Linked DNA regions of Struthio camelus. The protein of the gene in region 2 purifies or fractionates together with the protein of the main gene of each other region. This does not show direct contact. Links are inferred from orthologs where the notes say so. Each region holds a gene or a part of one and is shown on either strand. Other genes may lie near its edges.

Region 1 (4,712 bases), on a different chromosome or scaffold from region 2:
TAATGCCTCAGTGTAGCCATATGTAAAATGGGGATAATTACTTACTTCATTAAGGTGTGGTGTTTGTAAAATGTTTGAGTCTCGGATGAAAAGGACTTTCCTTGCAAAATGTAATTATAATAATATTATGCCAGAGGTAAGGCATAGGCCTGTGATTCCACATACAGTATTTAAATACAATTACTTATCTATCAAAATCAGGAATCTGCGCTACTTTTCCCTCTCTCAGCACCTGATCTTCTTACCATTATTAATCTGAGTAATCCTCACGGACTCCAATGCATCTGCTCACATAGTCCTTCAATAAGGTGTACAAGCGTACACTCAAAAACTAGTATCACGTCTCAATTATCACTATTTTTCTTGATTTTCCCCTGTTTGTAATATTCTTTAAGTTCTGGTCTCATAGTTTTAGAGGGATACCTCCCCTTGACTTTTCTGCAGGTGCCCACTGGCATCAGAAGCACTTGCACATGCTTTTTAGAATGTGCATAGTTTTAAATAAACTTAGTCTAGGGCAAAAATAGTTTCACAAATCAGCTATCAGCTGCAACACTGAAGAATAAGTACAAATCATTTCTAAGACTCGCATGCCCACTGGTCTCATCTGATCCATTTATCTTCTCTAGGTAGTCCCGGCCTTCCTGATGGTTCTCCCTATTTCCCGCAGCACCGCGTGCCCCATGCCCCTTCTCTTTCTCTCAGTCCTCAGAAGGGCCTTTCCGTATCTGCCAAGCACCATATGTCCTGGAAATTTCGTATAGTTGCCAACCACCACCTTTCAAAGCAACTTCAGGTTTTCTCCTGCTTGTTCTCCAGCAAGGCACCTGCAATGCTACAACTGCAGCATCCGGGTGTTGGTCCTGCACGCCTCCCACAGCAGCCCACCACGCAGCTGGACGAGGAGGGATGTCCACCTTTTAAGGAACGAGGATGACGCCACGAGCGAGAGGCCAAAGCAGCTGAAATGCCAAAAGCAGCAGAAAAGGGGGCTGAAGAAAGGGATGGCAGGAGCAGAAAAGATTGTTCTGATGCAGGCCCGAGAGAGATGAATTCTGGGGGGGCAAGAGGGAGGTAGTGGGGAGGTGGGTTGGCACCCGGCCAGCAGGGGCCAGCTGGGGGGGGGGCAGCAGGAGCCGCGAGCCCCTCTCTCCTCTACACCCCCCGCATTTCTGGGGGGTTCCCCCTGCCTCGGGCTACTCCCGCGCCTCCCTCCCCGCCTCGCCTGGCCCCCCACGGACCCGCCCGAGGCCGGGCCGGGCCGGGCCGACGGGCGCCCCGGGGGCGGGGAAGGGGAGGGCTGGCGGGCGGCTTCCCACCAGCGGGAAGGGAAGGGGACGGGACGGGACGGGAAGACTCTCCGGATCTGCCCCAAACTTGGCAGCTCTGCCCTCCTTGTGAGAGTTGCACCAGGCACCCGCCCGGATTGGCAGGAGCCTGTGCCCTCCTCTTCCTCCCTCTTTCTCCCTCCTCCTTTGGGTGGGTTTCATCCCTCCTCTTTCGCGAGCGGGGCGGCGGAGGGGGGAGTTAGTAAAAGAAGGGGGGGGGGGTGAAAAAAAAAAAAAGAAAAGAAAGAAAGAAGAAGAAATCCCAAGTCAGGTCCCCGACGTCTCCGGGCCGGCGGCCGCAGCGGCCGCCCCACATTCCTGGCATTCCTGGGCCGTGACTCCCCGCGCCGCCCCGGCCCCGGCCCCGCCGCCGCCGCCGGCCCCTCGGGACACCAGTCCCCTCCCTCCCTCCTGCCCGCACCCGCGGGCGGCAGCAGGAGCCCAGGGCGCCCGGCCCCCCCCGCCGGCGGCCCCAGCCCCCGGCCGGCCGCCCGCCCGCCGAAACTCCCCGCCGTGGCCGGGCCGGGCGGCGGCAGCGGCTCCCGCCAGCGGCACCGGCACCGGCACCGGCCCGCCGCGCTCCTCCGCCTCGGTGCCGTCGGCGGCCGCCTCCCGGGCCGAGAGCCGCCTCCGGCGGGCCCGCGCGGAGCCGGGGCCGGGGTCGGGGCCGGCCGCGCTCCCCCGGCCCGGCGGCCGCGCAGCAGGTAAGGAGCGGCGGCCGCCGCGGAGTTTGCTCGAGTCTGCCCGGCCCGTCCCCGTGTCGGACGTGTCCCGGCTGCTGCCGGCGACCGCGGGCTCGCGCTGACTTCGGAGCCGTCTCAGTAATGTCTTTTACGGTGTGTGTGCGGGTGTGCATGTGTGCGAGACAGGGAGGGAGGGAGGGAGAGGCGATATTTGCTTAAGGCTTGCTGTGCCTTATAGTGTGCAATTATAGCTCGGCGACGTATACATGACTGTTTGCAAAGTATGAGAATAGCTAAGCTTGGGTTATGCCTACCAATCGATGGCTTGTGATAAACACGGTTTGAACAGCCCTTCCAGTTTATAAATTTAACCAGATAGGCTCCTAGATAACAGAGCATCTCCATAACCAGTAGGTGTTTGTAAATAGGCAGGAGCAGCCTGGGCTGTCGGCTGAGCTGCCCTTATTTACACTGCGGCGTGACTGTGTTTAGCTTTCCGCTCCCCCCTCGGATTTACCTTGTTCTTTGTTAGTTACAGTGAAGCCTGCCCTGGCCGTTTGTCTCCAGCAAACACTGTAACACCGAGTTACACCGAAGGAACTGCACCAAGGCCGGGAATAATGACATCTGCTCTCGTTTCTGATGTGGGCAAAGTCAATGAATTTTTAACATCCCAAACTGACTCTCTTTCCGGGAGTGTATTTGGTACTACAAGTATTACATAATGTATGTGTGGCATATGTGTATGATGTGTGCTGGAGCTTTCCTGTCGGGAGCACTTTATCTGTGATTTGCATGAAATAATCTTATGTTTCCATTAGAAGCTCTCTGTAACTTCTGACAAGGTGGAAACGAGCGGTGACTGGTAAAGGCTCTGATTGAATACATTGTTGTCCAAAAAGTTTTCTGAGATTTTTAGTATGTGGCCTGAAACAGTAGTTGAAAGAACTATTTTTACCAGAAACCATTTTTTTTCTTTAAAGTCTGTGTAGATATTTGCTGTTAGTTTTTTTTTTTAAACTAAAAACACTGTTATATGCTGAAATTATTTAGAGTTTGTAAAATCTATGTATAAAATGGCTCCCCCAAATCAGAGGTCAAAGCCACCTGCCAACCTCGGGACTATGGGAGAAGTTGGTAAGGACAGCTCTTTTGGGGGAGAAATGTGAAGGGCGGCAACCCCAGTGGGGGCTAGTGTCTAGTTATCTAGCTGCGAATGTCCTATCAAATATGAGTGACAAAATACAGATTACACAGCTTTTGCTCTTGCCCTCTGGGGGGTCTGTAGCTGACATCTAGTACTTGTTACATGGTGTAAAATAAAGCATGCGTTGATGTTATAGTTATGCAAATAAGCTTTAGGCCCTGATCTATTATTGGCAGTGCTTTCTTGAACTTCTCTTGGTTTCTTCAGAGAGGCTGTGCCAGAGGTGCTTACAGGCAGAGGGCACTTGTGTGTATCTAATGGGACATGATACAAAAGTTGGGGATTTTTTCAAACTTCTTGTTTGAAGCTGGGTCCATCAGCCGGAGGGTAGTCCGCTAAGTCTGTGGGAGAGCTTGCAGCCATCAGTTCTGCTGTGGTATTTGTGTGGGAAAAGCTTTAAAGTGCCATTGACTCCAAGCGATCTCGGAGGATCTAGTAGTGCAGATCAAGGCCTGCGTAAAGACTGCATGCAGCGTTGATCAAATCAGGATCTGCTGGGACTGAGCAAACTGAGCTTGTGTATGTACGTTATACTACAATTTTAGATGTGTCTTTTAAATGTTTTTGTAATTGTAGCAGAATTAGCTTTGGTGCAGTGTTGTTTATGAGGATCACTAGCAGCCAACGTTGTTACTATTAATGACTGATGAAGTACTTCTTTACCGGTCGTTCTTGTCCAGCAGATGCCTGGGCGTCAGTTATCATAGTTTAGGTATGGAGCAGTTTTCTATGAAACAAATCTGCTTGTGTGTACTTTTGCAAATTGTCTAGGCTGCCAGTGGCAAGTACAATCCTGGAGAAAGTACTCAATCTAAAAAGAGTTTCCTTCGTGCTTTTCAAAACTATACTATTTCCTTTTTCTATGTTTTTCTGGTGCCACGACAGTCAAAGGGGTGTAGAAGACCACTCTTTGTTCTATTTCTCCTCATATCCAGTGAGGCTGCATTAGATTACACGCTACTTAAGTGAAGTATATTGTTTTAATTTGGGTTTAAAGTTAACATTCATATAACATACGCGATGTGAAAAGTGCACTTGAAGTACAACTCCTGCGTTGGAAGCAAGTGCTTGTTTGTTGCAAGGTTTAGTTAGCTGAGGGTTTTTTATAAACTGCTGGTAATATGCAAGTTGTAAGAAGTTTTCGGCAGACATTGCTCCTTACTAGTGTATGTATAGATCTTAGTCCTGCAAAGATTTACCCACATGCTTAAATTCTTATTCCTGAGTAGTGCTTGTGAAACCATGGAATTTCTTTTATATGCATAATATTAAACATATATACAAATCTTTGCAGGAGCCAGGCTGTAACATTTAGTATGCAGTATATTAGTACATATGTATCCAACTCAATTACAAGAAGTTTTAGATAAGTGGACAAACGTTATGCTGAACAACTGCCATAAAAGCCTTTTTTTAATGTTTAGGTTCGTAGTGAAGTGCAGCATGCCTGAGCGTATTATCTAGAGGAGTTCCACAGAGGATACGTAAGAGCAG
Region 2 (4,712 bases):
GCCCTCACCCCAGAGGGTCGTGTCGCCATCCCTTACCTTGGAGGGCAGGTGGAAGCCAGCGAGGTGCAGGGGGGCCTCGGGGTGCTGCGGGGTCGAGCTGAGCTGCACCTGGGGAGGGAGCGTGGCGGGTTGGCAGGGCTAGAGCTTGCCACGGCAGCGGGGCCCAGCCCCACAGGCAGCCCTGTGTCTGTCCCTACCTTGTCCTCGGGCTCCCGCCGGAGCCGGTCAGAGCCGACGATCTCCGCCTCCAGCTGGTAGGTGAGGGCGAGCACTTGGAGGTCAGTGGCCGAGAGGCTTGGGTAGTCGCCGGTCTTCTTGGCGAAGTCGGTCACTGCGGAGAGACGGCCGGGGTGGCGGCGGGGGCCGGGCCGGGCCAGGGGGGGACCGGGTCAGGTCAGAACCAGGCTGGGGCAGTGGGAGGAGGTAGGGACTGGGACCAGGTTGGGAGACTGGTCAGGGAGGGGTGGGAGACACTGGGATCCAGGCTGGGGGTGGGGGGGAGGCAAATCAGGGCTGAGACACTGGGGCCAGGGCTGGGGGGTGGTGGGGGGGAACGAGAAACAAAGGGACCGCAGACGGGGAAGGGGGGGGCGACACCAGGGCCGGGGCTCACCGAGCCGCACGTAGTCGGGCCGCGGGCGGCGGAAGTGCAGCTCGTAGGGCAGCGCGGCCAGGCGCCGCCGCGTCGGCTTGTCGCGGATCTCAGCCACCACCTCGGGCACGGTGTACACGCTCTGCGCCATCTCCTGCCGGCGCAGCGCCGTCAGTCCCGCTCCGCCCCGCTCCCCCCGGCCCGGCCCGGCCCCGCCGCCCGCCCCGCTCCCCCCGGCCCGGCCCGGCCCCGCCCGGCCCCGCCGCCCGCCCCGCTCCCCCCGGCCCGGCCCGGCCCGGCCCCGCCGCCCGCCCCGCTCCCCCCGGCCCGGCCCGGCCCGGCCCCGCCGCCCGCCCCGCTCCCCCCGGCCCGGCCCGGCCCCGCCGCCCGCCCCGCTCCCCCCGGCCCGGCCCGGCCCCGCCGCCCGCCCCGCTCCCCCCGGCCCGGCCCGGCCCGGCCCGGCCCCGCCGCCCGCCCCGCTCCCCCCGGCCCGGCCCGGCCCCGCCCGGCCCCGCCGCCCGCCCCGCTCCCCCCGGCCCGGCCCGGCCCCGCCGCCCGCTCCCCGCGGCCCGACCCCGCCGCCCGCCCGGCCCCGCCGCCCCGCTCCCCCCGGCCCGGCCCGGCCCCGCCGCCCGCCCCGCTCCCCCCGGCCCGGCCCGGCCCCGCCGCCCGCCCCGCTCCCCCCGGCCCGGCCCGGCCCGGCCCCGCCGCCCCGCTCCCCCCGGCCCGGCCCGGCCCCGCCGCCCGCCCCGCTCCCCCCAGCCCGGCCCGGCCCCGCCGCCCGCCCCGCTCCCCCCGGCCCGGCCCGGCCCGGCCCCGCCGCCCCGCTCCCCCCGGCCCGGCCCGGCCCCGCCGCCCGCCCCGCTCCCCCCGGCCCGGCCCCGCCGCCCGCCCGGTACCTGCAGCGGCGCCGCGCGCAGAAAGGCGCCGGCGTCGGCCACGACGTGCGCCACGCGCGCCATGACAGCCGCCGCCGCCGCTACTGACCCCTACGGCGCCCCGTACCGCGCCGCGTCGCGCCGCCCCCTGGGAGCTGTAGTCCGCGCGGGGCACGCCGGGAGCCGCCGGCCCGCGTGACCCTCTTCCGGGCCGCGCGGGTCAGGTGACGAGCGCGGGTCACATGACGGCGGTGCCTAGAGCCGGAAGTGGGAGCGCAGCGGCCGCCGGTAACGGGGGTGGCGGGACGGCACCGCGGGCGGAGGGGGGGGGGAAAGACGCGTCCGCCCGGCGCTGCCGCCGCGCAGCTCGGCCCGGCGCTGCCCGCGGCGCTCCGCCGAGCGTGGCTCGGCTCGGGGCGGCCCGCTCCGGTGCTCTCCCGGCCCGGTGCCCCGGTGCCGCGGCCGCTGGCGGGCAGGGCCGCGCGCTGCGCTGCGCCCCGGGCCGCGGGGAGGGGCCCGGCCGCGCGTCCGGCCTCCCCGGGGGGCCGGTCGGGGCTCACCGGCGGGGCCCCGGTGCCCGCGGAGGCGGCTGAGGGTGCCGGTACCGGTACCGGAGCCGGTGCCGCCCCGCGGTGCAGCGGGGCCAGCGGTGTCCGGGGGAAGCGCGCGGGGAAAAGCTCCCGACGTGCTTCAGGGAGGGCGCGAGAGGAGACGGGGGGCGCCGGGGCCGAGCGGAGGGGAGCTGGACGCGGAAGGGAGACGGGAGCGAGGGGCGGTGCACGAGCCGGGAAGGAGAAAGTGGGGGAAAGAGTCGAGATTAAAACAAAAAAAAAAAAAAAAGGGGGGGGGAGAGAAAGGGAAAAAGAAGAAGGAGGCATAGCCCAAACGGGCGGCGGGTTTGTCGTCGCCATATGTGGGCGATGGCCTGGGGGCTCCGGCCGTCGGCCCTGCGCGCTCCGGCGTGGCGACAGCACCGGCTGGCGAGGGGCGATCCCTGCGCGGGAGGTGAAACTGCAAGCGGTTAACGCTGCCAGATTGCCCTCCTGAACTCTGGCGGAGTTCAGCTCGGGGCGAGCTGGCGCCGGGACGGGCTGGCGTGGGGTGGGGGGGGGGGGAGAGCAGAAACAGGGCCTGTGTTTATGGGGGGAGGAATGGGGATCCAGATTCCTGCTAGAGGGGAATGAGCCCTGGGTAATAGTAACTTTGAGGGCCAGACCGCTAATATTAATGTAAGAAATGCCCTACAGGGCAGGCTCGCAGGTCCCTCTAGCCCCGTATCTGGTTGCAGGCGGTGGCTGTTTGGGAAGGGCACATGAGTCTGGCTGGTTTTTGTGGTCCTTGCGAACGGCACTAATGAAATAAGCTGGTAATGCAGAGGTGGGGACTCGCAGCAAACACGAGGAATAACGATATCCTAAGGGAAGGACAGGGTGATCTGTGGGCAGAGTAATTGGAGTAGGAATAACTGTAATAATAGCAAATGCAATTAGCTTCATAAAAAGACCTCCTTCCACAAGTAAATTCTTATCCGTTGGGAGTGAGGGGGAAGGGACAGGCATGCATTAGCAAGCCTTGACCCACCAATCTGACAGAGCCAAGAAAGCGGCAAGTCTGATATCAGAGCTTTCCCAGGCAGAAACGGGGACTGTGCAAGGCCCTGGCGAGGCCTCAGCTGGCGTACGGTGTGCCGTTCTGGTTTGCCGTGCTCAGGAAGGCGATTTCCTGCTGGGGTGGCACACAGAAGGGGATGGAGAGTGACGACTCGGTTCTACTACAAAAGGAGGTTTAAAAGGGACTGGTCAGGCTTTGAGGTGGAGCCTGCTAAGGTAGAGCAAGGGCCTGGGTTTGGTGGCCTGGCCGACTCCGCTAGCCCCAAGGGGTTGTGGGTTGTGCTGTGGTGGTTTCTCCAGCAGGAAGGCAACGCTTGGAGAGCCTTTGCAACGTGGAGGGGGCGATGGCTGGGCGCGGAGTGGACGGGGAAGGAAAGACTCCTGTGCAGCAGAGAAGCTGGCAGAGAGCTGGAAGTGGAAATGTGCTGTCTTTCCCCTTTTTGTACTTTTTCCTGAGGGCTCGTGATCATCAGGGTGGAGGTAGGATGGAGAGGCTGGCGGGGACTCGAATCCAGAGCTGGTCAGGAGGCGTGCTTTCGGCTTCGCAGGGTTGGGAGGGCGATCGGGTTTGACTCAGTCTGAGCTCTCACTGCTGCCCCAGGCAACAGAATTGAGACTCTTGTGTTCACATCTGCCCGGGGAATAACCAGCGAGCGCCTCCATCCGTCCTGTTGTGTCGGGTGTTTATGTGGGCAGGCCCCTGTGGTCTGTGACCTTGGAATTTACTGCAGGCGCCGCTTCTCTGCCACAGGATTGTGTTAGTCTGGATTCAGCAGGTCCCCTCTAGCTCTTCTGCCTGTGAAGTGCGTAAAGGATGACTGCTGTCTGCAGGCTCAGGAAGATGGTGGGAATCAATAGCCTACTCTCTTGGGCCCAAACCAAACAACTCGTGCTTGTGCATGCTGCATGACTGTACTTCTGCTTTGTTGTCGGTTGTTTCGGCAGAGGCGCAGCCACGTGTTCTGCTGCGTCCCTGGCCATCCCAAGTCCCCTTCCTGCCCAGCCACGCGCTGCCCGCTCCCAGCCCCGGGCAGGCGTCTCAGAGGCGAGGTGCGCAGGTGGTGCAGGGGCAGGGTGAAGCGCTGCGGCTGCAGTGACAGTCATTGTGCCCGAGAAAGTGAGGAAGTGGTGAGTGCTTGAGAAGCTGGAGGCCCCAGTTTCCTGTGCTGCAGCGTGATCCTTTGCAGCAGTTGAGAGCAGCTGTGGTTCCCATCGCTTAGCTGCTGCGCTGCAGGGTTTTAGGTTTTTTTTTTCTGTGAAATTTTGCCACCAGGAAATGACCTGGCCTGTCCTCAAGGGATGTGGCTACTTTCCCATAGTGTGACCGGAGCTTCCTCTCTTCTACCGCAGTGTTCCTGACTTGTTCCTTCCAAAGGATGCATTGGCTGAGGCCGCGCAGACTGCTTGTGGACCCGTATTGTTACTCAGCAGCACGGGGTGGACGTCATATCTTCCTAGTGCTTTGGAGACTGCTCTGTCTTCGTGCTGGTCGTGATCAGCAATGACCTTTGGATCGTGGGGAGCTAGAGCTGCTCCAATGCAGTGCCCAGAGAGCACCTGTGGGGTGCTGTCCCCAAGGGCTCCCCCTGGCTGGCCCGGCTCTCTTGAGGCCTCGTGGGTGCTGTTGAGAGA
Region 3 (4,712 bases), on a different chromosome or scaffold from region 2:
ACAATTAAGAGGTTTTCCTTCTATTTGGTAACAGAAGCACAGTACAGTACTCTGTACATGCTATTCTTAAACTTAACATGACCTGTACTAATAAATCTTCCCTTTAAGACAGAATAATTAAACACAGAAACTTTCATTATGTATAGAGGTAAAGAGGAAAAGGGAGGAAATCCTGCCAGGAAAATAATAACATTAGTCCATTTCTAACCTGTATTTCTCTGCCAACTTTGTTTCTAGACTGTTAGGCCTTTTTATGCACAACCAAGTTGTTCAATGAGGAACATAAGAAATGCAACAAACAAGAGTAGGCCGTGTAAGTTCCCAAAACTTGGTCTGTTTGCTTATTAATAACCGTTGTGGTAGCCAGAGATGGGCTTCAAGTGAGGTCCTGGGCACATCATGCTCCCGCTCCCTCCTCCCTGTGTACCTTCACTCCCACCCCCACCTCGAAACCAACCCCCAGCTCTCCACTTCTCTGCCCTCCTACACACACATACTAGGGCTTAAACTCCACTCCTGCAAGTCCTTATCCAGGCTAATGACCGCCTGCGTGACAACGCTTAGCCTGCCGCTCAGGTCAGCCTCCGAACAAGCAGGCTGTCTGGATAAAGGCAGTGATCTGGGCTATACGGGACAAAGTTCTGCCATGAGCCATTACTGATAGCAAGAATCTGCTTTCATGAGAGTGTTTATCCTAGGGATCTGCTATACCCCCCCCCCCCATACAAACGCTCCTTTCTACTATGGCTCGGAGCTGTATGCCCAGCTGTTTGGAAATTGTTTTAAACTACGACTGCGTATCTGACAGTTTGGGAACCTAGGAAGGAGTCGTACTGATCTGACAGGCCACCAGGGTGAAAGTTTTCACTGTTTTTACCCCAGGAGGTCATCAGTGTTACATCAATACATAAACATTTACAGTTTTAGAAAGACGAGTGAAGGAGAAGATCACAACGTTTTTCTCCTCCTCCTCCTCCTCCTCTCAGAGAATGGTGCTTTTGCCTTGAATTTTCAAAGGAACAGAAGACAAATAGGTTCTTGACTTAAAATTAGTACAGAAAGATTCCTACTCCAGATCATCTTCTAGGCCTCAAGGATGTCTACTTTATTCCTTATTTATTTATTCGTGCCTGATGGGGATAAGCTGCTAGGCTACGCATGCTTTGTGGACAGAATAGCCTTGCTGATAGTGCAGAAGGAGGAAAAATACTACCGAAAAGAGGGGGAAAGGGCAGCGGCGCACAAACCCTGTGAGGGGCTGAGCGTACACACCCACCCCGAGAAGGGCTGGGGACACCAGCCAGCAGGGCCAGCGCCCGGCAGGGCCTTGGTGGCAGGGCGCTCAGCACAGCCCCTGGGGCTGCCGCGCTGCCAACGCCAGCAACGCCGTCAGCTCCACTCCCCGAGCAGCTCCGGCGGCGGGGGTTACACCGAGGCGCAAATCGCTGCGCCTCGCATAACGGCAGAGAAGACGGACAAACCCATACGTTTCCCCCACCAGGCAGGGCACGCCCGTTTAAACACCTCCACGCTTCCCCCCAACACCCCGCCCAACGGCCGACCAGCGGCCCCGCGCCTGCGCAGAGGCGCGCGCGCCCACCGTCCCCTTCCCCCCCCACTCCCGGCGGCGGTCGGTCCCCGGCGCGTCACAGAGGGCGGGGCCGCAGCGCGCTCCTCTTCCCCCCCCCCCCGCCCAACGGCAGGAAGGGAGGCGTTGGTGGGCGGTGTGGCCCCTCCCCTGGTGGAGGGCGGGGCGCGGCGGAGCGGGGGGAGGGGCGGCGGCGACCGGCTCCGTCGCTGGAGTGGGCGAGGAGGAGGCGGCGGCGGCGACGGCAGCGACGACGACGACGACAGCGGTTGAGCGAGCGGGCGGGCGGCGGGGAGGAAGGGCTGAGCGAGGATCGGGCTGGTCGGAGCAGCTGCGGCCGCGCCACTGTGTGCGTCCGCCGGCGGCCGGGATGGATCACCACCAGGCCGCCAGCCGCTACCAAGTGGTGAGTGCGGCCGGCCGCGGCGAGGCCCGGCCGCCGGGTCGGTCCGTGGCGGGGAGGGGGAGGTGAGCCCACTCGGAAGCCCTTTCATCCCCGCCCCTTCGCCTTTTTTTCCCCCTCCCCCCTTCTTTTTTCTACTACTCCCCTCCCCCCCTTTTTTGGGGCCTACGCGACTCCAAATGTGAGGGTCTGACAGAGATCGCCTCGCGTTTCTCCAGCAGTGATGTGGGCCCGGGCCCGGGCACGACCCTGTCTTTTCCCTCCCTCCCTCCTGCCCCCTCCGCGATAGCCGCCCCTCCCCGGGAAGGGAGGGGGGGATTTGGCTTCGGCAGGGGCCCGCCGCGGAGCTGTGTGCTTGAGGGGGGCTGCCTCAGCCCGGCCGAGCTGCTCGCTTGTCTTCGCGGAAAATCCCGGTGCCCTTCCCTGTTCTCGTCCGCCCTGCGCAGGCTGGCCTTGCTTCCCCTCCCTTAGGCTGCCTCGGGGCGGTCGGTGGCGGTGCGGGGGCTGTTGAGGGCTGGGCTGAGTTGAGCTGAGGTGGGATGGCAGCGGTCTCCTCTCCGCTCGGGAGGGCAGTATGTTTTTCTTGCCCGGTTAACTGATTGCGTGGTAGCTGTCTTGATCTTCGCTGATCTAGCCGGGTGGCTTATGCTTTCCTCTTAGGTAAGAAGTAAATGGACTCCTCTGTATAGCTTGTTACTTTTGTGATGTTCAGGAGAAATTCGTAGAGCCTGGCTTTGTTTGAGTATTTCACTGATAGTTCAAGCTGTTGTCCTGGCAAAAGTTTATTTGAAGAACAGTATTTTGTGCTGTCTAGCTGTGAAATTAAGGATAGGGCAATATCTCTAATTAATACATGTGTCAGAGAATGAAGTGTCACTTGTATTCTAAAGCCATTGTTAGCAGTTGCTTGGCTATCTAGCACAGGGATAGATTTTAATGTGTGTATATTCTAATCTTAAGTAAGCCATTGCACATATGTGTATGCGCACACACACGTGTACTGTGGCTGACTAAAGATTAGATTCAGTGTACTGTAAAACACTGAAGACAGATCTTCTGTAGGCCTGTGTTTATGTATATATGTATGTATATGTGTACACACACGTGGGTGCATGCACACATACACCAAGGATAGTGGTTTACTGAAGTACTTTACAGTTCATTGAGTCTAATTTGAATGCTCTTTCCTTCCTCCTAAACTTCATTACTGAAAAAGTAACTTAGTATACTAAGCTCTTCTTCCAGCCTGAGTTGAGTGTACTGCTTGTTTCAATCAGTTGTTAGTTTAGTGTCAGTTATAGTTAAAAGGTGTATGCTTTTCTGATTATGTCACAAAAATGGCTTACGTGTAGTCAGCCTCTTCAAAATTTTCAATTTTAACCTTTAGTTCCATGTACTTCATGGCTTTGCTACATATTTAAGGGGGATACCATACAAATGTGAAATCTTTGCTACTGATTGTAGTTTAAACCTCTTTTACAATCCTCCATCTAAAGCCTGAATTGTTCATCTTACTGTTTGTGTTTTACAGCTTGAGTAGTGAAAACAATGAGCACAAAAGTAGTCACATTTACTTTTGTTTGATCTGTTATCTTGTATTTCTGGGTCTGGTGATATTAATGCCATGTTCTAGAGGTAAATGGCTCTTCTGGGTTGCAAGCAAAGAACTCCTAAGAGTGAACTTATGTAAAAATAAATACAAACGTTTGTATTCGGATTGTTCCTAGGTTATACTCTAAAATGAATAATGAGAAAGCCTTTGTTATGCATTTGAAATATTCATTTTGATAGTCCTACCAATAGTATGGAAGATTTCTGTTTGCTCTTGCGTGATTATATTGTGGGACAGTCATATAGCTGAAGAACATACCCGGCAGTCTGCATCTTCTCAGGAGTGAAGTATACCTTTAGGACACTAGCAGGTCCCAATGCACTGTATGGGTTAGTTAGCAGCCTTCTAACATACTTCTCTTCCTGTGCCACATTACCATAATTTAGAATTAGCAGAAGTCCAAAAGTCATTGGCTCTTCTTTACAAAGGTGAATGAAAATGCTGGCAGAGCATTTTCTGAGGAGCCTTCAAATGCTATATTCCCTCTGAGGTCTGAAGTAACCAAGTTATGTTTTAAAAGGCCTTAAAAGTGTATGCTGTTAGAGGTCTGATAAATATAATGGAAATTTTGCTTCCGTTACTCAGAGGAGTAGAAAAAAGCATGGTAAGATGGAATGAAGAGATAATTTGCCTCTGTAATTTTTTTTTTTGTTATATTTGATTTAAAACTTCCAACTATGGTGCTGGTGCCCAGCTTTGAATAAATGCTTTTTGTTGCAGTGTTCTAAAAGGAACGATATTGATGTAATATAGTAAGAGTTGGCCCAATCAATTTCCCATGTATATTAAACTTTGTGGCCAATTTATGTAACTGAGTTTTGTTACAGAAGTGTTCCCTGAAGCCTGTGCAATTACAGCACATTAAATAACTGACTACAAATTCAATAGAACGACAAAAGTGCTGTTTTAATCTTTGATGCACCACCGAGTTCAAAATAAGATCTTACTGATTACTACCTTTTAGGAAGGACCGTATTGTTTTTCTTTTACTATACATACATCTGCCTACTTGACACTGAGACTTTCAAAATGTTATTTGCTTACTCTGCTGGGTCAGAGGATGGAAGAACAAGACAATTGCAGATACACTTAATTAGCACCTGATTCTT

What was found.
Region 1: the proteins of WWP2 (region 2) and PTPN14 purify together in Homo sapiens (affinity purification with mass spectrometry; 3 studies listed by BioGRID). This does not show direct contact. The link is inferred for Struthio camelus from reciprocal best matches to the Homo sapiens genes WWP2 and PTPN14.
Region 3: the proteins of WWP2 (region 2) and NDFIP2 purify together in Homo sapiens (affinity purification with western blotting; 3 studies listed by BioGRID and IntAct, with this or other methods). This does not show direct contact. The link is inferred for Struthio camelus from reciprocal best matches to the Homo sapiens genes WWP2 and NDFIP2.

The regions. Positions count from the first base shown.
Region 1 is NC_090944.1:115,141,256-115,145,967, reverse strand, and holds the start of PTPN14 (tyrosine-protein phosphatase non-receptor type 14), read left to right. Parts: upstream 1-1,297; 5' UTR 1,298-1,479; intron 1,480-1,996; exon of another isoform or gene 1,997-2,032; intron 2,033-3,517; exon of another isoform or gene 3,518-3,737; intron 3,738-4,712. UniProt on the Homo sapiens protein: Protein tyrosine phosphatase which may play a role in the regulation of lymphangiogenesis, cell-cell adhesion, cell-matrix adhesion, cell migration, cell growth and also regulates TGF-beta gene expression, thereby modulating epithelial-mesenchymal transition.
Region 2 is NC_090951.1:1,475,305-1,480,016, reverse strand, and holds the start of WWP2 (NEDD4-like E3 ubiquitin-protein ligase WWP2), read left to right. Parts: upstream 1-1,669; 5' UTR 1,670-1,758; intron 1,759-2,328; exon of another isoform or gene 2,329-2,475; intron 2,476-4,712. Other genes in the region: RNA-binding protein NOB1, read right to left, coding at 37-108, 198-331, 614-746, 1,492-1,554. UniProt on the Homo sapiens protein: E3 ubiquitin-protein ligase which accepts ubiquitin from an E2 ubiquitin-conjugating enzyme in the form of a thioester and then directly transfers the ubiquitin to targeted substrates.
Region 3 is NC_090942.1:175,522,721-175,527,432, reverse strand, and holds the start of NDFIP2 (NEDD4 family-interacting protein 2), read left to right. Parts: upstream 1-1,706; 5' UTR 1,707-1,958; coding exon 1,959-1,994; intron 1,995-4,712. UniProt on the Homo sapiens protein: Activates HECT domain-containing E3 ubiquitin-protein ligases, including ITCH, NEDD4, NEDD4L, SMURF2, WWP1 and WWP2, and consequently modulates the stability of their targets. As a result, may control many cellular processes.